Linked DNA regions of Mus musculus. The protein of the gene in region 3 interacts with the protein of the main gene of each other region in a pairwise test. Links are inferred from orthologs where the notes say so. Each region holds a gene or a part of one and is shown on either strand. Other genes may lie near its edges. The genes, in order: Mcm6, Cep72 and Mcm10.

Evidence for each region.
Region 1: the proteins of Mcm10 (region 3) and Mcm6 interact in binary tests that used the Homo sapiens proteins (3 or more experiments, as listed by UniProt). The two-hybrid records come from large-scale screens. The link is inferred for Mus musculus from reciprocal best matches to the Homo sapiens genes MCM10 and MCM6.
Region 2: the proteins of Mcm10 (region 3) and Cep72 interact in a two-hybrid assay, tested with the Homo sapiens proteins (2 studies listed by BioGRID and IntAct). The two-hybrid records come from large-scale screens. The link is inferred for Mus musculus from reciprocal best matches to the Homo sapiens genes MCM10 and CEP72.

What each region holds. Positions count from the first base shown.
Region 1 is NC_000067.6:128,333,112-128,341,254, reverse strand, and holds part of Mcm6 (DNA replication licensing factor MCM6), read left to right. Parts: intron 1-1,776; coding exon 1,777-1,905; intron 1,906-2,977; coding exon 2,978-3,139; intron 3,140-5,389; coding exon 5,390-5,525; intron 5,526-6,336; coding exon 6,337-6,492; intron 6,493-7,598; coding exon 7,599-7,738; coding exon of another isoform or gene 7,739-7,774; exon of another isoform or gene 7,775-8,143. UniProt on the Homo sapiens protein: Acts as a component of the MCM2-7 complex (MCM complex) which is the replicative helicase essential for 'once per cell cycle' DNA replication initiation and elongation in eukaryotic cells.
Region 2 is NC_000079.6:74,050,052-74,058,194, reverse strand, and holds part of Cep72 (centrosomal protein of 72 kDa), read left to right. Parts: intron 1-3,203; coding exon 3,204-3,312; intron 3,313-5,135; coding exon 5,136-5,314; intron 5,315-6,573; coding exon 6,574-6,780; intron 6,781-7,830; coding exon 7,831-8,135; intron 8,136-8,143. UniProt on the Homo sapiens protein: Involved in the recruitment of key centrosomal proteins to the centrosome.
Region 3 is NC_000068.7:4,997,183-5,005,325, forward strand, and holds part of Mcm10 (protein MCM10 homolog), read right to left. Parts: intron 7,930-8,143; coding exon 7,764-7,929; intron 6,994-7,763; coding exon 6,826-6,993; intron 4,199-6,825; coding exon 4,082-4,198; intron 3,875-4,081; coding exon 3,678-3,874; intron 2,599-3,677; coding exon 2,498-2,598; intron 1,659-2,497; coding exon 1,548-1,658; intron 1,461-1,547; coding exon 1,352-1,460; intron 151-1,351; coding exon 1-150. UniProt on the Homo sapiens protein: Acts as a replication initiation factor that brings together the MCM2-7 helicase and the DNA polymerase alpha/primase complex in order to initiate DNA replication. Additionally, plays a role in preventing DNA damage during replication.

The DNA.
Region 1 (8,143 bases), on a different chromosome or scaffold from region 3:
ATTTGTGTTCAGTTTCGTGACCTTTTGTGCCTCTTGGGTGTAATGCGCCTGACCTGAGTTAGTTGTTCTTAGATTTGAGTATTCGACCTTACCATCTCAGATGTGTGTGAACACACAAACAGCCCACTCCCCCACAAGGTCTAGTGTGACTCATGCTGGCCTTGAACTCTCTGTGTAACCCACCATGCCCACGTTTATGGGATACACTCCTAATGATAAGCAGGAAGCTCTATTTCAGTAAGTAATGTAAAACCCTTGCTTCCAACCTGACTTGAGACATTATCTAAATAAAACTGCCTTGCTTTTGTGAATGTTTGGGGGCCTTGGGCTTAGGCTTCTCCTCTTTTCCTTTCACAAGTACACAAACGTAGTTAACTCATGGATAATAGTGTAGTGGCTAAGAGGACACACTGAAGCTAGGCTCTTCAGTCCTGTCCTTACTACTTAGACCTCGGTCAGATAACAAAACTTTTCTGGGACTCAGTTTACTTCTACATAAAATAAAGCTATCATCTACTGCATGAAGATTGCTTCTAGACATACATGGAAAAACAGTTTCATATAAGAAGCTCCTATAAATGCTCTGCTGGGGCTATTTTGAAAATTTTTAAAAATTTTTTTCTTGTTTTGGTTTTTTTATTTTGTTTTGTTTTGAGACAGGTTCTCTATGTGGCCTTGGCTATCCTGAGCTTCACTATGCAGACAATGCTGGTCTCAAAATGACAAAGATCTACCTGCCTCTGTCTCCCAAGTGCTGGGATTAAAAGCATGCACCACCACCATTACTCTAGCTGGTTACTTGCCCCTGTTTTGTTTTGGCCGCTGCCAGTGGCAGTAGCATGTTCGTGTCCCATCCATTGCCCCCCCCCCCAACCCCCTTTTCTTCTGTTACAGCAAATGGGCTGCCTTAGTAAAGGTAGTCAGGTCTGTCCAGGTATTTCAGGGTACTGGAGAGATGGATGTTGTAGTGGTTGGGAGCACTTACTGCTTTTACAGAGGACCAGGCTTGATTCTAAGCCCACCCCTATGTGTATCTTGCAACATCCAGGGGGTCTGAAGCACTCTTTTGGCCTATGGCCACCAGGCATGTACATGATGCAAAACATACACATAGGCAAATACATTTTCTTGTTGCTTTTTTGAGATAGGGTCTCAACATAATTCTGGCTGGTCTGGAGCTTGCTATGTAGGCCAGGCTGGCCTCAAACTCACAGAATTTCTGCCTCCCCCAGTGCTAGGATTAAAGACATATGCCATCATACCCACCATAAAATGTATTTATTTTTTAATTTAAAAATATCTGTAGGGCTGGTGAGATGGCTCAGTGGGTAAGAGCACCCGACTGCTCTTCCAAAGGTCCGGAGTTCAAATCCTAGCAACCACATGGTGGCTCAAAACCATCCATAACGAGATCTGACTCCCTCTTCTGGAGTGTCTGAGGACAGCTACGGTGTACTTAAATATAATAAATGAATAAATTAAAAAAAAAATCTGTAAAACCTTTGATCGTGGGGCTAGAGAGATGGCTCAGCAGAAGTTAATTTTGTCTTGTTTGAAGATAGGGTCTCCTGGAGCATATACTGGCCTTGAACTCTTATATAGTTAAGGCTTAACTCCACTGAGGTTCCTGCCTCTACCTCCTAAGTGCTGGAATTGATCGCAGGCCTTTACTCCTAGTCTGTCACTTGTAGCTAGACATCATCCCTTACTGCGGATAGATAGTACTTGGGAGTCAATACTACTATGACTGACAGAAGTTCTCTTGTTCTGGATCAGGTGACAGATTATGCTATTGCCAGGCGCATAGTAGACTTGCATTCAAGAATTGAAGAATCGATCGATCGAGTTTATTCCCTTGATGATATAAGAAGGTACCTTCTCTTTGCCCGACAGTTTAAACCCAAGGTAATCTGCCCTGCCAGACCTGGATAAGTCGTGGTGTGTGTGGGTGTTAGAACTAGGTGTGAATAAATGGGTTCTGTGGAAATTAACCGAACTGAGTTTTAGCTTTGGTTTTGGTCTTTTGAGGCAGTCAGGGTATCCATTGCATAGTCTAGGCTAGCCTCAAACTCAATCCTGCTTTAGATGCCCACTTCTCTATCTATAGGAATGTGCCAATATGCCTATCTGTATTCATTTTTTAAATATCCTCAAATCTTTAGCTTATTGTTTGAGAATTTTATTCTTGAATAAGATATGTTTTTATAAATCCACCTCTCGCTTCTAGGCTTTTTATTCCTTCCATATCCACACCACTTTTCCTTCCTAACTTTGTACACTCCTTTTAAAACCCTCTAAGTCCACTATAATCTCCTTAAATTTTAAGTTTTTATGTTGTTCTGAGTACTGGTTTCTTCAAAGATGGTTAATTTGTTAAGTACTGAAAAAATATTTTAGCCAGGCATGGTAGTCTATATAGTGAAACCCTGTCTAACAATAAGGATTGTGAGCAACTTTCATGTAAAGAGTGTGAATTTGCCAATAATACTACTGTTTACTGAGTTTCTTGCTCTGTAAAACTGAGGGCCTTTTAAGTCAGTATATGCTGTCTTTTTCCCTCAAGCCAGTATAAGTTCATGAGCTTATACTGACTCAGGATAGACTTAGTGCTAATGAGCTTTGACATCTTGAGGTACATTTCATTTTATTCTATTTATTGCTTCATGTGTTAAACATCATTTAGAAATGGTCAATTGCTTATACTGGTCCATTGTCTTCATATTCATAGAATTAGGACATGAATTTATAGGCTTCTGAGTGTCAGTTTTTTTAATTAATTTACTGTCTTTGTGATAAAGTTTCAACCTCTGCCCTCTGTTTCCTGGAGTGCTTCCATCCAGGACCCTCTTTACCTGACATTTAATGTAGTCGATCAAGTGTGTGTGTGTGTGTGTCTGTCTGTCTGTCTGTCTGTCTGTCTGTCTGTGTTGTATGTATATAAATAAATATCTCCTTGACTTGACTGGTTTTTAAACAGATTTCCAAAGAGTCAGAAGACTTCATTGTGGAGCAGTACAAACGTCTCCGCCAGAGGGATGGCTCTGGGGTCACCAAGTCCTCGTGGAGAATCACCGTGCGACAGCTTGAGAGCATGATCCGACTCTCAGAATCAATGGCCCGCATGCACTGCTGTGACGAGGTACCAGCCCCTCTGATAACACGGGAACAGGAATGCATGAGTTGACTTTTAGGCGGGTTTTTATCTTTGTTATGGAATATCTCACAGCCAGTTGATAACTATTCTCCCAGTAAAAAGGTTGCTATCATAGGTTTATGAGGTATGCTGTCTAGACTAATAGTGATGGATAAAAGTGTTTATTATAATCAGTAAATTATGGAGTGCAGATACAGGTGAGTACTTACGCAAGAGAAACCTATTTAATCTCTACAGTGGCCTTGGCCTCTGGCTGGGAATACAAACGTGACTGTGACTCCTGCCTCAGAGGACTCTTCCTCCTTAGGGTTGTATAATCAGTGTGTGGCGGGTGTGGGCATTATTTTGGGTTTGCATATGCTGGGGCAAAATTCAGGGCTTTGTGTATGCTAAGCACACTCATGACTCTTACCTTAGCTCCATAGATTTTTAATTGCTCTTGGTGCCCTAGACTCAAAGCAAATGTCGGATTATGGGAAGGGGTGATATTGGAAGCCACATATCTGCTTCAAACTAAGAGGCTTTTGTGTACTTTTATATACAGAGTTCATTTAGGATTCAAATTTTGTCTGTGAAAGGACTAGGTTCATTTGTTTGTTGTGTTTCTGAAACAGGTGCTCTTTTGGTAACCTGGCTTAAATTCCCAGCCCTCTGCCACAGACTACCATGGATGGAATTATAAATGCAGTTAGGTTTTGAGATAGCATTTAAAGCCCAAACTGGCCTTGAACCCAGCATTGTATCACATGCCTATAATCCCGAGGCTTAGGAGGTAGAGGCAGGAGAATCATGAGTTCAGACTCATCCTCATCTGCAGTTCAAGTTTGAGGCCAACTTGAGCTCAATGGGTCTTTGTCTCAAAAAATGAATCAATAAACAAGATTTGGGAATGTTGTAGATACGGGGGGGGGGGGGAGCCTAGATTCAGTTCTCAGTACTGTAAGGGAAGGGAGAAAGGAAGAAGCCACGTGGTGGTGGTGGTACACGCCTTTAATTCCAGCACTCAGGAAGCAGAGGCAGGTGGATCACTGTGAGTTCAAGACCAGCCTGATATACATAGGTAGTTCTAGGATAGCCAGGGCTACACAAAGAAACCCTGTCACAAAACAAGGAAAAAAATAAAGAAAATTGAACTGGGGAGATTGTGTGGTTTATGGTTAAGAATATAGAGGGCCCAGATTATATTCCCAGCAACCATGTGATGGTTTCCAACTGACATGACGCCAGTCCTAAGGGATCCAATACCTTCTGGCCTCTGCAGGCTTTGAGTGCATATGGTGCACAGACATAATTACAGACAAATGCACATTAAATAAAAACAAGCCGGGCGTGGTGGTGCACGCCTTTAATCCCAGCACTTGGGAGGCAGAGGCAGGCGGATCTTGCAAACCAGAGTTTGGTTCTGTCTTAGTCCTGCACAAAACATCAAATTGGGGAGGAAGGGGTTTATTCAGTTTACACTTCCACATCGCTGTTCATCAACAAAGGAAGTCAGGACTGGAACTCAAGCAGGTCAGGAAGCAGGAGCTGATGCAGAGGCCACGGAGGGATGTTACTTACTGGCTTGCTTCCCTGGCTTGATCAGCCTGCTCTCTTATAGAACCAAGACTACCAGCCCAGGGATGGCACCACCCACAATGGGCCCTCCCCACCCTTGATCACTAATTGAGAAAATGCCTTACAGCTGGATCTCATGGAGGCATTTCCTCAACTGAAGCTCCTTTCTTTGTGATAACTCCAGCTTGTATGAAGTTGACACACAAAACCAGCCAGTACAGGTTCCCAAAACCCACATTGGGCTGCTTACAACTGCCGGTAATTCCAGCTCCAAGGGATCCAGCACTCTGGTTTTTTGAGACAGGGTTTCTCTGTGTATCCCTGGCTATCCTAGAACTCAGAAATCCACCTGCCTCTGCCTGCCGAGTGCTGGGACTAAAGGCGTGCACCACCACCGCCCAGCTGAATCCAGCACTCTTCACCCCTCCACAGGCATCTGCACTCGTGAGCACATACCCACACACAGATCCATAGAATACATACATAGATGCAGCTGTGTCAGTTCATATACGCCTGTGGAAAGTGACAGTTAGTCTGTGATCTTGATAGTGTATGATATTGTCGGTCATTTCAACCATCTTAGTGAGTTAATAGTGCCATATAGGGGAGAGCACCGTGTTCTTAGCTGTTTGGTATAAAATATCTTAACATAACTAACTGGTCTGATTATTGCCTTAGGTTCAGCCTAAACATGTGAAGGAAGCTTTTCGATTACTGAATAAATCAATCATCCGTGTAGAGACGCCTGATGTCAATCTAGATCAAGAGGAAGAGATCCAGATGGAGACGGATGAGGGACAAGGAGGCGTCAATGGTGAGGAGCTTGCTCATCTCATTGCCTGTCTATAGACAGGCTCCAGTCTTGCAGGGTGTCGTGGTACCAGCACACTTGTCAGTGGCTGTGAATGGATGTATTCAAAGGGGATTTTAAATTAACTATAAGCTGAAGGACAGTAGGACAGCTAAGTGGTTGTACAAAGTATATATGCTTGGAGACCAAAAGAAAGCATGTCACAATGAACAGATCCTTTGTCCTCTACTCTTGCATACAATATTCTGTTTAGCTCTTGAACTTGAAATATGTTCTTGGGCAAGTAGAAGGTTCAGTGGGTAAATAACCTTATCTGAAAACCTGGTGCATGTAAAGGTAAGAGGACTGAATCCTGTGATTTCTGTATACGCACAATGGCAAGTTCACATGCGTCCATATACATAATAGCAATTTAAAAGATTCTTAAACTTCTCGATCACATTGAACAGGTGAATAATATTATTTTTTTCCTTATAACACTACAAATTGACTTTGTCAGATGCCGGGGAAAGGTCTCACTAGGTAGCCTAAGTTGTCTTAAATCTCTAGCCTCTGGTTCAGCCTTTTAAGTGCACAAATTATAGGTGTGTGCCACTGTGCCCTGCTGCAAATGGTATCAATAAGATCTCTGTCCCCATCTCTGACACTCTTCTCAAGCCAGTTGTCTTCACTAGTAGGATTTTAATTTGTTTCAGATTTATCTATAAAATGGCTGTTTTCTGAAGTTTGTACTAAGCATAGAGAGTGTGCATGGGCACTAGATGGGCATGTTGAAGTCACCAGGAAGGACTTAGGTGGTTATTTCCTTCCTTAGGTCATGCCGACAGCCCTGCCCCTGTGAATAGGTTCAACGGCTCCAGTGAAGATGCCAGCCAGGAGACTGTTTCCAAGCCCTCCCTGAGGCTGGGCTTTGCTGAATACTGCCGAATCTCGAACCTCATCGTGCTCCACCTCAGGAAAATGGAAGAAGGTGAGTATGTTTCCCACGCTGCTTATCTGCTGTGGGTCTTACACGCGCTCTCTGCCACTTGTGATGTTAAGCCTTGTGTTAAGCTTCAGAACTCAGAAGAGATGATGGTTTGTGTTGGCTCACTTTAGGAGGGAGCCTGGGTAGTATCAGCACAGCCTCCCTACAAGCTCATTGTCAGTAGAGTACAGATCATTCTACAATACAGGACATAAATAAATACCGATGTTCCTGTATTTAGCTTATGATTTTGAAGCAGAATCTTTAGATCTGATGATATAAACAACATTTTTGCAGGTGGAAATGACTATAGTTGCTTTCTTACCAACAGATGTCTTGCAGGATATTTGTGTTTATCTACAAAATACCACAGATGTAATACAATCCTCCTTTGTACCTGGTCGGTGGGGCACTTGCCCGCTTTTTACCCTTGACTGCTTTGCCATGGTTTCATATCGGTTTCACAGTTAGCCATGGGTAAGAGGAGAAGCCATCATCTGTTAGAGCTGAAGTTCATTCTTTTTGTGGGTGTAGCCACTTGTGTATGGGTGTCCATGGAGACCAAAAGGCACTTGGCTCCCCCAGAGCTGGAGTTACAGTAGGACGGCTCTGTGATGGCTTCTAGGCGTAATTCACCATGCACAATTCCAATCCGTGCTGCAGACTTTCACAGCCATGTTCAGCTAGTACTTGAAAGAAACTGAAGTAGACTCAGAAGTAGATTCTGGCTGAATGCAGTGCCTACACTTAGTCTTAGCAGTTTGGCAGAGGCAGGTTTGTCTCTGAGTTCAAAACCAGCCTGGTCTACATAGTGAGCTCCAAGCCAGCCAAGGCTACAAAGTGGTTATCTGGTCTCAAAAAAACAAACAAACAAACAAACAAACCCTGAAGAGGAGCTTACAAATCCATGTGATTGTGTGTGTGTGTGTGTGTGTAGTGGTGAGGACTGGACATCCTAAGCACATGCTCTAAAATTACTGATCTTTACTTTTGCACCTTATTTTGCAGTTTCTAAAATCAAGCTTACGGTTTTTCCTGTGTGTGCCATGAATTGTGTGGCAGTTTGCTAGAGGTCAGTCCTTTTCAATAATGTGTTTGTTTGGTTGCAGAGGAGGACGAGTCGGCACTAAAGAGAAGCGAGCTTGTCAACTGGTACCTGAAGGAAATCGAATCAGAGATAGACTCTGAAGAAGAGCTCATAAATAAAAAGACGATCATTGAGAAGGTTGTTCATCGTCTCACACACTACGTAAGTGTCCACTGCCTGGGCTCCAGGGCACTGTGAGGGAGTGCCTCTATCTGCAGGCTTTCTGATGAATCATTGGGGAGCGGTCATAATTGTAGTTGAGGAAAATTAACCGAAAGGGAAGGACTTTTCCTAAAATAAGCAGAATTTAGGTAAAAGTTGAGCAGGCAGCATTTGGGTCTTACTTCTGGGTGGGCTTTTTGTGGTGTCTTTATTTAGCTATACTGGTATTGAGCCCTGAGTTTGTATGTGCTGGGCAGACATGCCTCTGTGCTGAATTCTAGGCTCCTGTTTGGGTGCTTTCTAACTTTCTGTTTTCACCCTGTCGGCTTCATTCATACCTGGCTATGTAATTCTCAACCGGACCACTAGCAGTACCTGATCCTCGGCCCCACTCCCACCCCCAGT
Region 2 (8,143 bases), on a different chromosome or scaffold from region 3:
TGGCCCAAATCCCTGTCAGCTCTGGGGTATCTTTCATCCTCCTGGAGTCAGTCTTGCTAGTCAGCCAAGTTTTAGGCCTAGTGAGAGGCCTTATCTCAAAATCAAGATGGATAATACCTGAGAAAAGACACCCAAAGGCAGTTTACATTTGACCTCCACATGCACAAATGTGTATACATGCATTGGTAAACACATGTGTACACAACACACACACCACTATCACCATCACCACCACTACCACCATCACCACCACCACCACCATCAACAACAACAACAAAATGCCAAGTTTACAAGGTCATTCCTGAGTTAATATCTGTAAGTTCTCAGGATAGTGTTGTATGACTTGTAGGTCAAGGAGCTTATAAGCATTTCCTGGAATTTCTGTTGTTATTGGGGTCAGACCTCCTGTGCCTAGAGGATCATCAAAGCAATAGAACTACTAAAGTTCTATTAGAAATATAGAAAAATAGACCACGTTTCCTCCATGGCAAATGCCTGACGGCACAGAGTTTGCCATTCAGAGTCTTTTGGAAAAAGTAGAGTTCAGATGCTTGCTTTTGGGCCAGTGGGTAAAATAGATAAAGATACTTGCTACCAAGTCTGATGACCTGAAATAATTCTCAGGAAACACATGGTGGAAGGAGAGAACTGCTGCAAGTTGCCCTTTGACCTCCACATATGCACTGTGACACATGTGCACTCACACTCATATATATACACACAAATATGTACATAAATATAATTTTCTAAAAAGATACAGCAGTAGCAAAAAGAGAGCTACGGCTTGAGTGTCTTCAAACTTGTCTGGATAATTTTAGTTCAGCTTGGCCCTTATATGTAGACTGGCATGTGTTGGCCGGTTCTGAGTCAGCTCTGGATTTCTACCCACTACCTTAATTCAGGACAGACATCGTCAGTCAGTCTGCCAGCTTTCCCATAGGTAGTCCTAGCCTTACACATCCATTCCTCAGGCCTGGAAGATAGACACTGTGTAAGTCCTGCCCTGTGGGTTTATCAGTATGGCAAGAGCTTCATGAGTGAATATCAAGTTAAATTCATCCATAAAGTCTGGGCTATCTTGACATAGCACCAAGAGCTAGAATGTTTTGACCATGAACTGATCTTCTGTGTGTAAATGGTGTTCTGATGCCTTAAACTCCCTTTCCCTGTATCTCAGAGATGTTTCTAGAGATAGCAGAGGAATTTAGCAACATGAAAAGCACATGTTCCTTTTGTTTCATCCTTCTGTAACAGTGTTAATTAGTGGGGTGAATTATTCCTTGCAAAGCTGTCCTCATTGGTCAGCAACAGTTTGGCTATTATCAGAAGCCACCTATTTAGTAACTCAGTTGGGACTATTTTCTTCAATCCTCGAAAGGAAGCTTGGGGACCTGGCATAATAGCCCTGAGTATGGGCTGGTCTCTCCTAGCCCAACAGGTTACATTTCCACAAGAGTTCAGCTCCTAGGGCAGGATGGGCCAATAGCAATGGTGAGCAAGCCTGTCTTGTTTGTGACTGGTAGTCCATTACCCATGCAGTGGTGATCATGTATCTCTAACCTTAAGGTAGTTGTTGGCCAAAGGTGGAGGGTACCTTTGAGTGCCTGTACCTTCTGTGTCTTGACCCAGAGAGCCCAGTTCCCTCACATTGTGAGTACTGATGCTTTAGTCCCCGTGGTAAGACCTCATGTCCTTCATTTGGTTCAGTTTTGATGAAACTCCTAGCCATAAGATGTGCTATGGACACTGTTAGATTACAAAGTGTTGAGCCTGGGTGCAGTTGGACCAACTGCCTAGAGCACATTGTTTAGTTAAAACATACTTGGAATTTCTGTGTTTAATTTGAAGATACTTGGAAGGAATATGTGCTGTGTTCTATCCTTTATTTGACTGTTTAAGTAACTTATAAACAGTTGAGTTTGGCTTTGTATTTAGAAGCATTACAATTATGGGTAGTCTTGAATTCTTCAGGCTTAAATCACTGCCTTCCCCTTGCCAGAAACGTTTAGATTCAGAATCACAGAGTTTGTATGGAAAAGGAATGTAAGAGGTATTTTCATACACAGCAAAGGGATATTATTGAAATCAGCGCCATTGGAAAAATCCTCTCCAAAGGCTCTGAATGGGCAGATGCTGGAAGAGCATCTTGGTCCTGTACAGGGCCTGCAGAGGGCCTTGGTCCTGGTTGTAGGTAGGAGACTCTGGATAGGTTGTAGAGAAAGGAGCAAAGGGGTAGTCTGATGGCTGTAGGATGCAGTAGGGTCTGAGAAGATGCTGCTGCCAGGAAAGGTGGAAGTGTGTGTGTGTGTGTGTGTGTGTGTGTGTGTGTGTGTGTGTGTGTGTGTGAGGGGGGTGAACTTTAATGGCTTTGGAAGATTTATATTTGAGTTCTGGTGGAGTAGTCCAGGGATTTGCACAGCCTCTGAGGGGAAAGTAGCTCAGCTTAGACATGTTCTCCTAGTCCAGAGAAGACACGTATAATTATGCAACATTGTGGGGGTCTTCCTCACTTTTTATTATTTTTTATAACTGTGTGTCATACAGTAAATACTGTTTAGAAGATAGCATGGGACCCTAACTACATAAAATGAGGAAAGTTCTAAGACTAAGGCCTTCTCATCCTTAGGTACTTATATAAGACATGTCAGAAGGCTCTTTGGTCAAGGCCTTCTGAGGCTTTGTATCTCTATATGGGACATTTGGGATTTCTCCTCTGTTTCTGTGTTCCAGCATTGGGCTTCTGGGGACTCACCCTTAAGAGCAAACTCACATAGTCGGAATCTTCATTGTGGGGAGGACTCTCCTCTATGCAGACCCTTTTGTGTGCTTGTGTGACAAGACTTATCCAGTGTCTGGCATGCACATTTAATAAACATTTAAGAAGCATGCCTTAAATGTACACCTTATAAGTCCTACTTTTGCAAAGAGCATCAGCCTGTTCCAATAGCAGCTCATAAACAGCAAGCTTTATGGGCATAGGCCAGCCTCTTGGCATTGTTGGGAAGCCAAGTGTAGCCACCAGAGCCCATCATTCTAGTATGATGCATGCCATTTGATGATGAAAGCTTGTGTCAGCCATGGAGCACCAACACCTTCAGGTATTGTGAGCTCCAGAAAGGGAGAGCTAGGTGTGTCCGCTCTCATGAAGAACATGGCAGTCATCTGCCCCTGTTCTCTACAGTTCTTGGGAATTTTCTCTTTAGATGACCGTCCTGTGAGAGAAAGTGAGCGGAAAGCTTCCCAGCTTCATTTTGCCCCAGAAGATTCACTGAACTCAAAGGAGAACTTCTCAACCACTTTAACCGTTGGAAGGTATGGACTAATGTGGTTCCACTCAGATGGATTTCAAATTTGCCTGTCGACAGGGCATTCAGCCGTCAGGCATGAGTGTCTGTGTGCCACCTATCCCTGAGGGACAAGTATGCAGAGCAGATAGAAGTTCTCAGTTCTGACTGGGACTCAAGTAGGTGGTGGTAGACATCTCTTTCTCTGTTTCTTCCAAAGTTCTTTAGTACTGCCAGTCCGTTTCAAACAAGAAAGCTGCTGTAAAGACAGCCACACCTCAGAACATTGCATTTGGATTCCTTGGCATCTCTTGTGTTAGCTTTTTCTTTAATTTTGCTGTTCATATTATGGCACTAAGGGAGAGCATGTCTTAGTCGTCTTGGCCTCAATATGTAGTTTATGGAGAAATTTGTTTTCTGTTTTTAATCTTTTCCCTTTCATATATGTATATTATTTTAGTTAGTTTCTGTTGCTGTGATGAAACACTGTGTCCTAGACAACTTGGGGAAGAAAAGGTATATTTCGCTTTACTTCAGGTGATAGTCCATCAGTGAGGGAAGGCAAGGCAGGAACTTAAACAGAGCAAGAACCTGGAAGCAGGAGCTGATGCAGAGGCCATGGAGGGGTGGTGCTTACTGGCTCGCTCCTCATAGCTTGCTTAGCCTGCTTTCTTATAGAACCCAGGGCTACCAGTCCAGGGATGGCTCTACTCACAATGGGTTAGATTCTCCCCTGTCATTAATAAAATATCCTCCAGGCTTGCCTGTACCCCTCTTCTTAATTGAAGTTCCCTCCTCTCAGATGGCTTTAGCTTGTGTTAAGTTGACATAAAACCATCCAGCATACACATATTTTTAGGAAACTTCTACAGTAGCAGATTTTCACAGAGCTCCCCAAATAGCCCTTATTGTTAGTTGTCCTCCTGATTTCCCTCCCTCCCCTCTTCTTCTATCACCAATGCCCATCTAAGCTCTCACTCCAGTCTCCCGTGCCTTTCTCTGATGTTATATTCTATTTCCTCTTCCTTGGGAGGTCCCTTTCCCCCTTCTAATCCCTTAATGGTCACCTAACCTCTGAGGTGATGAGGGCTGTAGCACACATATCAAGGGCTTAAAAGGTAACATCCACATCTAAAAGAAAACAGACAATATTTGTCTTCTGGGGTCTGGATTATATCATTCAGGATGATTTTTTTTCCCCTAGCACTGCCCATTTACCAGAAAAATCCATTTTCTTGACAGCTGAATAATATTCCATCATGTCAAAGTTTGGTAGCATCTCTGGAAGCCAGTCAGTTTCTCTCTAGTCAGTTGGATGTATTGTTCTTAAGCATTGAAGTTGACATTGTTTGGTGACAGTTCTGAACAATTTCTGTGAATATTCTTCTTTGTTGTATATGACCCCTGAAGTTTCAGTTTAATTAGCTTATTGACTAGTGATTAGTCAAAGATTGCCATTCGTATATGGAACCAAAAAGTTAAAGGCTATGTTATACATGCCTCACTCAGCATAAATGTAGGTAAATATAAGCATCCGGAACATGTAGTTCTTTAAGTTTCTTGATCACATGCATTTCTTGTGAATGTGTCAAGAAAAGAATAAGTTGAATTCTAACCTGTTAGAAGATTGTAGAAACAGAGGAACATTCTAGAATTTATATTTTTTAGCTATTTCTAGTGGACTTCTGTTTAATGCTGAGGCAATAGTGTTGGTGGCATCTCAGACATTGTTATTGGTTGCCAGTTGTGCTAGGTAAGTCCCTCTTCCAGGTCACTTTATAATGAGAGCCATGCTAGGCTGGGACTATACCTGGGCCTGTGGACACCGAGAAGTTTCCTTTTCCCTTGCAGACCACACCACCTCAGAAACAGATGTACTGAGACCTCGGCCAAAAAATGCTTGGTCATGGATGCTGATGATGAGGCTGTCCTGAACCTTATTGCCGAGTGTGAATGGGACCTAAGCAATCCTCCTGGGAACATGAGCTCCAGCCAAAAGGAACATGAAGCTGACCTCCATTATGCCCAAGGTGCGCACCGTAGTACAGTGAAGGCTCCATGGGTCAGACAGGCCCTGGCTTGAGCATATACTTAGAGTGCTTACAGTTTTGACTCTGAATACTAGTATTTTGACTATGAAATTACAAAGGGAAAAGTTAACGGCCCTAACTTGAGTCTAGTCATAATTGCAGTGTTTTAATCTCATTCTTTCTCAGAGCATAGGGGGAAAAATGTCTGAGTTAAACAAGAAAGCTAGATGTCTCCAGCACCTGTGAGGAGTAGTTAGCCACTTGGATCTTTTGAAATCCTGGTGCTCAAGAGCCTGGTTAGGCCACTGTTCTACCAGGATCTCAGAACTTCCCAAACCCTGTGAACTTAATGTGCCTTTCACCAGAGACCTGCTTGTAAACCTTAACTTAATGTCTTGTATTCCACCATGAATTTCCCAGAGCCGTTCATGCTGGGCCAGCAGCTCCTGTGCCGCAATCTCCCAGTACTGCTGTCTTCAGTCCTCTGAACCCTAGTTCCTCCCCTGGGTGTGTGGGTGTGTTCGTTCTAACTTACCTTTTCCTGGCAGGTATTGATGTGGTGCTGGCCGTCTATATCTTCTCTTATGATACTTTAAAGCCTCCCACCCTGTTGTTTAATAGCTTATTTCTTCTTTTGTTGTTGAATCATACAAATTACGTGTGGATTTTGGATCTAAGACCTTTCTTTTCATTCTACGGATTGATTGCCTTTTCACATTCCTAACAGCGCTTCAAAGAACAGCTAAGCAATTAGACAGTTTTTCTAAACTAGAATGTGCTCTGTTGTGCCCTACTACAGACCTTTTCCCATCCCATGCCATAGAAGGACTGCCCAGGTTTATGCACAGTCCACCGTTGGAGTCAGGGCTGAGTGGCTTGAGAGTACGGCATCACTGGTCAAGACTTCTCCCACTTCCAGTTATTCTGAGCATCTGTTGAAAAGAGACATCATTACTCTGGGCTTTCATTAAGGGAGTTAATTTGCATCTATTTCCCAATCTGTAAAGTCTCTCTTCTATACACTGCCATCCCATCTTGGTTACTTGGTATTGAGTCTTGTCACCCTTGAACACTGACATTTTCCTGCCGGTAGACTATCCGGAATTCACTGCAGTGTTGACTGCTATATTAACCTACTCAGTATTTTTCGTCTTACTTAATTGACTTAAGAAAAGTATATTTTATAGATTACATTGCTCTCACAAACTTAAACTGTAATCTTTAATAAAATAAGATTTAAAATGTTTTTAATAAAATAGAGTCCAGACATCTGTTGAGTCCTTTGTCCATCCAGCACCAGTGTGGGGATTCAGCGAGGCGAGGCCATGAGAAGAAGAAAGTCACCTCCAGAGGGTGTCCAGGTCATTCACCGCAGGACCAGCTCTGTGGGGAACTCCCCCTACAGCATGGCTTGCCAGAGGCCTGCCATATGCACGTACAGCATGCCCGCATCACTTCACAGCCAGGTAACCGCCCAGTCCTGCCAGGATCGAGCTGCCTTTCTAAATAAGTGTCTACACATTATTCACAGTGTTTGCTATAACTCTTGAAATTTTTCCTGATGTCTTTATACTTATATATGAAGCTCTAAATTATCTTTGGAAAGGATTTAGCACATCAAAATTTATCACACACCCGTATTTTGGATTGTTAGTTTGGAAATTTCTTGGTATTTTTCCATTGTGCACACACCCTCTTTCTCTGCCTCTCACATTTCTTCCTATCCCTCTTTAGTCCCATAGACAGGTGTTTTCTTCTAAATACATAGGCCAAGCTCATGAAACTAGCTACATTTTTAATACCAAGGATGAGGAAAGTTGAATAAGTTAATTAAGAGTACCATGGGTACAGTGTAAGTATCAAAACTTGAAGCGCTTGTTTCAGTCACATTTGTGAGGCTTTCAGAAGCACAATCAATGGTTAGGTAATGGGCTGTTCAGAGTTTTGGGCTGCGGTTAAGGTAGAGCCATGTTCCTGTTCAATGCCTTCCCCGCTGTCATTGTTCTTCCCTAGACAAGAGTTTGTCTGCCCCTCCCAGAGAGAGTATTAGTAAGTAAATACATGGACCTCCCATGTTATTTTATTATCCCTGCCTATTTCATATCTTGGAAACACACATGTGTGATGTTGTCAGAGAACTTATATTGACACATCTATTCTGTATGAGCTTATGCAGAGCAAGTACTGATGAAAGCCTGCTACTTAACAAGAATGGATTCTGTCCACTTTGTCCAGGTTCTTCTCAAAATCCCTGTTTTTCCACATGTGCTTCCTCATGTCCCTCCCTCCTTCCCCCTCCTTCTCCTCTTCCTCTCATGGGTCTTTGTGTGTGTGTCTGTCCATACCCACGTGTGTGCTCACATGCACATATATAAGCATGTGTTTGTTTCATGTGCCTGTGTTTGGTGGATACACATTCACATTTGTGAATGTAATTTTTAAAAATATAAAACAAGACTCCAGATCCCTGAGAATTCAGTCTAATAAGGGTTCTGCCCACTTTCTCTGTATTACAGACTCTGTGGATGTTGAGGACTGTGCTTCATCTGCTCAGAAATCAAGTTTGTCATCACAAAAAACAGTAAATCCTTTGCCTGTCCCTGAAAAGTACAGGAAGCGAAGGATGCCTGGTGGGAGATTCCAGGTGCCTTCAGACCGGGAGTGTTTGAGCTTCCTAGAGAGGGCTGACGGGCCCTCCAGCCTTGAGGACAGTCTAAGCAGACAGGATGGCTTGGAGGGCCAGAGTCAGGTGGCCTTGTCTCACTCTGAGGCTTTGGAGGCTGAAGAGCGGACATCTCATGGCACAAGTGACCCCAGAGTGGTGAGCAG
Region 3 (8,143 bases):
GAGATGCCTCTGCCCAGCTTGGGCATCCGTGGGGTTGCAGTTCCTTCCAACCTGGGGAACTCAGCCCCAGTTCGAGGAGACTGGGCAGCAGCCTGTCGAGAGGAAGACGGCACTGCTGGGCTCTGGACTTCACTTGAGCTTTGGAGGAATCTTAAAAAGGAATAGGAAGTAACTAAATATGGGTTGGGTATGTGGCTCAATGGTACATCATTTATTTGTCTAGCATGCCCTAGCCTCTAGGCTCCATGCTACAACCAAAACCCAAAGTAAATAAACATAAACGATAAATATATACCCGAGGCTCAAAAGACGTAGAACTCAAAACAGATCAGGAGACCGTGGATAAGCTTGAGTGGACAATTAGTTGTTGGTAAACAATTTCCTTTCTTTGGTTAATAATTCAAACTAGCAACTAAGAACACAGGTTTCTCTCGCCTAACTGAGTATAGTGTGGATTTTCCATCACTTCCTAGCTGATGACCGTTTTACCAACTGGCTTGGCCAGAGATGCTGTCTACAGCACACATCTAAAATTATAATGCAGAGGCAAATAACCACAAATCTGTGTGTGGTTAGCTGTAAGACCTCAGGGCCTCATTGCATCGCCCTGCTTCTCCGTTTATCCTTCAGGAAGGGAATACATAAGAAACCCTTCACAAGGAAGAAGGGAGGAGAAGTTGAAATGGCACCGGGTGAATTACTACAATTCCTTATAGGCATGTACGGAACTGTCAGAAAATTAAAAAAAAAAGAAAGAAAGAAAGAAAGAACCTAAACAAGATGGTGGAGGCACATGCCTTTAAGCCCAATACCCAGGAGGCAGAAGCAGGCAGCTCTCAAGTTCAAAGGCAGGTCTACAGAACAAGTTCCAGGAGAGCCAAGGTTACACAGAAAAACCTATCTTGAAAAACAAACAACTTAAACCAAACCAAACCAAAAAAAAAAAAAAAAAAAAAAAAAACCCACCAAACCCCCCAAAACAAACAAAAACCCCCCAACAAACCAAAACCAACCAATCAAACAAAAGCCCTTAACAAAAATGGCACTGCAATTTCCTTGTTGATGGAACCCAGCTTGTATGGCTTAGTAGCAGTCACGTTTGCCCACTGAGCCATCTTGCCAGCCCCATGCCCAACACGTTTGAAATAACAAAGTCTGTTCACTTCAGAACCACAGCACCCAGATTTCTCATTCTGCAGATAAACAATTGAGCTCAAGGCCAGTGCTCAGAAGACCTCTCCACACGGTCTCCTTCCTCGTTCCCAGGGGCACAGTAACTGCTCTCCACACCAGCAGGCTCTGGGAGCAGGAGCATTGATTGGAGGCAGGGAGCCGGATCTGCTCTTCTTACCGCTTCTGTATGTCTTCTGATCTCCTCTTCCGCATCTCCAGCATCTGTTGTTTCTGCTGCTTCAAGAGGGCTGATGCTGAGATGGACTGGATGGCAGGTTTGGAACTCCCTAAAACACAGGCCACACACTGAGGGGTTGTAGAAAAGATCTGGGGAACATGGGCACACACCCCATGATCACATACGCTGACTCTACCTGAAGCCTTGGCTCTGGCTAGATGCTTTTGTAAGTTTCTGGCTCCAAATGTGGGCAGGGCCATCAATTCCCTGAACTCCTCAGAGCAGGACAAGCTCTTCTGGGGAATACCTGAAACATGTAGACATTAATTTTATAGGACTCAAAATGTAAATGGTTTGATATCATGTGAGATCACGTTTTAAACTCTACAGTCATGACTTAGTAACCTGTTAGTGAATCAGATATAGTAATAATAATACCACCAAAAATCAAAACAAACAAACAGCAAGACTTTTTTTCTTTTTTTAAGATTTACTCATGTATGTGAGTACACTGTAGTTGTCCTCTGACATACCAGAAGAGGGCATTGGATCCCATTACAGATGGCTGTGAGCCACCTTGTGGTGGCTGGAAACTGAACTCAAGATGTCAGGAAGAGCAGTCGTTGCTCCTAACCACTGAGCCAGCTCTCCAGCCAATTCAGAACTTTTAACTTAAAGGTCAGACTAGTAGGACAGCAAAGGCATCAAACACTAAGCCCCTAAGGATTGTGGGACCCATGGACGTGCCACTTCTGGAATATGCATGAGTAACACTAAGCCCCTAAGGATTGTGGGACCCATGGACATGCCACTTCTGGAATATGCATGAGTAAGATATGCATGCAGGTTCCTGGTCACTCTTAGGACCAAAGGTGTGGGTGGACCAGCACTATCTAACTAGGCCTATTTTAGCGAAAGGTAACTGATGAGATCAGCCGGGAACGTGGTACTAATGCTGGATATTGCTGGATATTGCGAGGCTGACCCGCTAAGATCAGGCTGAAGATTTCTCTCACTGCTCAGTCACCAAGCTTTCTCCTTTAGCCTACGCCACATCGACCACTAAGCTCAGGTGATGAGCAAGCCATAGCCATTCTCAGTCCCACACTGCGTCCACTGGAGACAGAGGACGGGTGAAAGGATTACCAAGCTTTTGTTTTGTTTCCTGGATGATCGAGTTTGTGCCCCGGACAACCAGATTGGTCAGCGTGGTTTGAACCTTCTTCTTAGGAGCAATGGCCGCCGCCCTGTAACGACAAGTGCCAAAGCAGAGAAAAAGTGCTTGAGCCTCATTGTCTTCCCAAACAATATGAGGATTCCCAATGAACCTGTTACCAACGGGCCAAGATCCTCAAGCCCCATGCATGCAGGCTTTGCCGGCCACAGCTTGGTAGCCCAGGAGTTCTGGTTTATACATTAAATCACTGATGGAGATCCTACAAATTTGCTTGAGGAACAAGATGACATGGTCACACACCACCTGGGGTTCCTTAGACAGTCTAGAATCCCAGTAGAGGGTCATGATCATCTGTCCTGCATCACCATGCCCCACGTGAGCCACATCACACGTGTTCATGATGCTAGAAGTGGTTTCTAAGAGGTCTGCAAACTCCTTCTATAATAATAACGATAACACCACCAAAACAACAGAGAATAATAACAGCCACTCAAGAAAATCAACCCTTTTTTGCTTTGATACAGGAACTCATACGCGCCATGCTGGTCTGGAATGTTGCCACGGCTGGCATGGACTCCTGATTCTGCTGCCTTCACCTCTTGGTTGTTCTTTCACTTAAAAAGGTTTTATTCATTTACTCTTTATGTGTATATGAGAGTACGTTTGTGTACACTGACCCAGAGAGGACAACAGAGAGCATCGACCTCCTGAAGCTAGCGTTACAGCGGTTGAGCCGCCTGCCATGGGTACGGACACAAGCTCAGGTCCTCTGACGAACAGTGTGCACTCTGAACTGCCGAGCTACCTCTCCAGACTGCCTTCTCCATTTGGGGCACGCTCTCCCTAGACAGCTTAGGTTGGTCATGGACTCGTGTTCTGTCTCGGTCTCCCCAGAGCTGGGATTGCGGGTACAAGACTTCACATCTGGCTAAATGTAAAGCAGGGGCTCACATGACTCACTGTCTACTCATTCCCAATGTGCTCCTCTCTCCCTAGAAATAAAAGATGTCCTTGATCACTCAGGCTTCATCTAAGAAGACAGAAGCTCACTTAAGCACCCTAGGACAGTTGCGGAACAGTCCACCACCCGCTTGCTCTTAAGAGGGAAGCAAAATCCTTTCCCAAGAGCAGTCAGGAGAGATGCCTCACCTGGACGCTGCGAAGGATTCGGAAGAAACACCACCATAGTAGAAACCATCTTGGCACAGCCGCTCCTTCAGGCTGGTGCCTTTGCGGAACTTCTTCGGAATCCGTCCCCCAGAGAAAGTGGACTGCAGATCAGTCCTCTTTGCGCTGAGCTTCTTGTACTGGGCCTGGATGTGATACTGGCAGTATTCACAGTCATGCTGCGGGGAGAAGACGCGATGAGGCTCTGGTCAGCGGCCTGGGGAGCAGGGACACCCATCTCTCCTAGACTCACAAGACAACACTATGCGCTCGCTGAGTCCCTGTGACCTCCAGTGCTCCCCCTTGCTCATCGCCACCACAGCACCTAAAGCTCACCCCTCATGATTGACTGTTCATAGGCAAATACTAAAGGATTTGAGACCCACCAAGTTAACTGTCTGTGTACATGGCTCTCCATTCTTCTTCTTGGCTTTACAGGCTCCCAGGTCCATAGCTTCTCCCATAATTAAGACTTTTTGAGGATGATCAATAGATAAGCACACCTGTAAGAGAAAGCTTATGTAAGTGCTACGGTTTTTATCCTACGAATGGGCGAAGGTCAGTCTGAGCTGGTTTTGGAAGGCACGTGAAGCCAGTGCTCTAAGCAGCTGTACACTAGGCAGTGCTGAAGACTCAATCCGACTCCCTTTCCTGTAACCAACCCTTCCTTCCTCTTAGCTGTCAGAATCCTGACTGTCCAGGCTGGCCGAGTGCTCACTGCAGACAGTGGATGTAGCCCTGTTTCCCAGAATTCCTTGTGGCTCACAATGGTCATGTGACTAAGGCTTGGCAAATTAGCCAGAAACAGGGATTGATAGGGAAGTTCTTGATTTCCTAGTAAAAAAAGACAGGCTGGCTCCCCTTTCTTCATCCTGCCACCAGTGGTGATAAGTGGAGGGGGACAGTCTCAATGACCTTGGCTGACTCAGTTTTCCTGCTCCCTGCTGCCAATTCTCAGGCAGGTCTACCTGGCAGGAACACAGGCTGAGATAAGGACTGTCCTCAGGTGCCTGGGTTCTCTTCTTGCTCCCAGAACAGGGCATCCTGTCACTTGAAGTCATAGGGCCCAGTGGTTGCTAGGCAACGAATCCCTCAGCCAGCCTCCCATGCAACCTTGGCCACAGGTACGCCTCCATCTATACTGGACAGTTCTTCTGAGCTTAGAGGGATGAGCCCACAGAGCAGCCCATCTGTAACAGAGTTGTTCTGCCTAACTGCATTCACACCCCGGTAGCTGAGTTTGTGCAAGACCTCCCACCAGATCTAGGAATTTTAGCAGAAAATATCAAGCTGTTCAGAGCCTCCCAACCCAGGATCAATAACCAATGAGTAGATTCCCCACCCAGGGTAGGGAGATGAAGTATTCTGCTTCATAGTGATTCGCTGTCATCTTGTAACCAAGAGGGAAAGGCAGAAACTCACTACTTTAATTAAAAATTGCGCCATAGGTTGATGTATTTGAATATTTGGTACCCGGTTGGCTGGAAATATTTTGAGAAGAATTAGGAGGTGTGACCTTGTTGGAAGAGGTGTTATCACTGGCTTTGAGGCTTCAAAAGTCCACAGTTGGGCATAGTCTCTCTGCCTCAAATTTATGGATCAGGATGTAAGCTCTTAGCTACCACTATAGTGCCATGCCTGCCTACCTGCTGCCTGCCTGCCTGCCTGCTGCTGTGCTCCCCGCTATGATGGTCATGGACTCACGCTCTGAAACTGGAAGGCTTTCTTTTATAAGTTGCTGTGGTCACGGTGTCTCTTCACAGGGATAAAAAAGTAACTAAGATACTCACAGAGATATGGCAACACTAAGCTGCCTGTTTCTACTCTTTTGTTTTTGTGAGGAGAGATCAGGCTCTTGCTGTATACAAGAGGATAGACCCGACTGGTCCAAAACTTGTGACTTTCCTGCACCTATCACAATACTAGACTGGACTTGGAAGAAAGTTGGGCTGGCAAGAAGGCTTAGTGGGTAAAGGTACTTGCTATCAACCCTGATGATCAGAGTTCAACTCTAGGAACCCACAGGGTGGAAGGTGAGAAGCCATTCTCCCAAGTTGTCCTCTCAATTCCACATATATGATAACACCCATGAACCCCACCTCCAGCCCCCAGTAAACTAATAAAGGCAGTAAGTTAAAAAAGAAAAAAGGAAGGAAGAAAGAAAAGGAAAAACAGTTGGGAATGGTAACTTATACCTATAATCCTAGAATTTGGGAGTTGGAGGTAAGAGGCCTGCTGCTAGTTCAAGGCCAGCACAGGCTACACACACACACACACACACACACACACACACACACACACACACAGTTATTTTGATTTTGAGACAGGATCTGACTTTGGAGCCCAGACAGACAATCCTCTGGCCTTTGAACTGCTGGGGTTATAGGTGTGAACTACCACACCCATCTAAATCCCACTGTTTGTTTAAAGAAACTGTAATGAAGGGTTTTTTTGATGTGTTGCTATGAATGATCAAATACACTCCCAACCAACAAATGAAGACTTTTGTCATTCTCTACTGGAAATAAGGCTCTTGCTGGGACAGAGCAGAAAAACTATCTAGCCATTGTAGTTTACACTGGTTAGCAGCAACACAACTGGTTAGGAAGCAACAGCAACACAGCACTCACTCTGTGAGGATCAGCCTTCACTGCAAGCGCCAGCTAGGACTGCAAGGTTAATGAAGCAAACTTCAGTCAGCTGTGTCACACTCATTTCCTGATACAACCATGGCTGTTACTTATGCAGGGACCTAAGGAGACCCGAGTGGGAGAGCTCAGTAAAGCTGAGCTGGCGAGATGGCCCAGCAGTACAAATGCTCGCCGAGCAAGGCTGCAGTCCCCAGTTCAATCCCCAGACCCACAGAAAGGTAGAGAAGCGAATGACTCCACAAGTTTGTTCTTTCACTCCACACGTGAAAGTTATAAACTCTGGGAACTGTGATGCTAACTCAAAACCATTTACAATAAGAAGATTCACAGAATATCGGTAAGCAGTGAGCCAGCAAATGAAGAGGCAGAATAATGTGGAATCAGGAAAAGCCCAGAGGGAGATTAACACAGATGCTTCCGATACAAAAGGAAGTGCAGAAAGCACCAGCCCAGCAGTCCAAGCTGAGTTCAAGCCTCACCTCTTTCAAGCCATCTTTGGGCTTCATGGGGTTTGCGTTGAGCAAGCCTATGACGGTCCCTTGCTCTGTCTTCCAGAGATCTTTGTGAACATCTCCAAACAAGAACAAGGACACACACTGAGTCAGGTCATGAAGGTCGTTCAGTTTCCAGATGCTAAACGTTTGCCCCTGGAGTGAACAGAGTTCATTTCAGTCGAACGTTTGAACCTGGCTTACAGGGCCTCCATGTAATAGAGTCTTATTGTAGAAAAATAGCTGGACATAATTCACCTCAAATAAACGGGTGTCAGTGTGGATATCAAATTATACATTAATTCTTTCTTTGGGCTTTAGCTTTTATTACCTGCCTCATGTAAGATGAACAGAAGCAAGACAGGCCACAGGGAAATTTAGTAGAGTGTATGTAACTTAGCAGGTAGCCTGGCTGCCACCCAGTGTCCCAGGGACGATTGTGTGCCCCTCCTTCCCACTACCACCCTAGTATGAGACAAGCAGCAGCTATAGCACCGTCATTTATACCCGTCACAGGACTGGACAGCAGGTGACTAATTATCACTGCTGCTGCTATTAAGAGCTATCTCAGTGCACACCCCACCCACATGGCCAGGGACCCCAGCACCTTATTCTCACAGGGTTCTCTGGGATTTGTGGACTCTAATTACTTGGCCTTCTCCACAGGAGAAGTGACAGCATCTCAGGGACAACATAGGTGTCCTAAATGGTGAGACCTGAAATGCACTCAGAACAACTGGACGACACGCAGCCCCACTGTGCGGCCTGTGTCTCAGCGGAACGTTCTCTGTAGAATGCCAACCCAAAGACGAGTGCGTGCCTACTGGAAGTTATTTTAAAAGAAGGGCTGGCAGGTGCCAGACGAAGCCCTGGGGACCCCCTTTAGCCTAGCCAGGAGCAGCTCTGGAGTCAGTAAAGCAGCTTACACTGGTAGCACTCTGTGGAGTGACCTTCCTGAGGATAACCCCAAACGTCACCCAGTCTGTCTCTTCCAGGTTCTCAGTTGCCATCTTCTCCTTGATCTGAGGCAGTCTGATTAGTTTCCGGCCTGCCATCTTCCTGCTCATTTCTGTGGAGGAGACTCGAGGTCGCCTGGGACAAGAAGCCGGTAATTGCTAGGTCATTATTCTGGTAACAGACTATGTGGAACCTTACCACATAGTGGTCAGGGGACATTACAGGGAGCAACCTTTCCAGTGGCTCAGGGGACTTCATGTTTATTTTTATTTAGTTATTTTGGTTTCTTAGGACAGGATCTCACTATGTAGCTCATATTGGCCTAGAACTCATTATCTTGCTGCCTCAG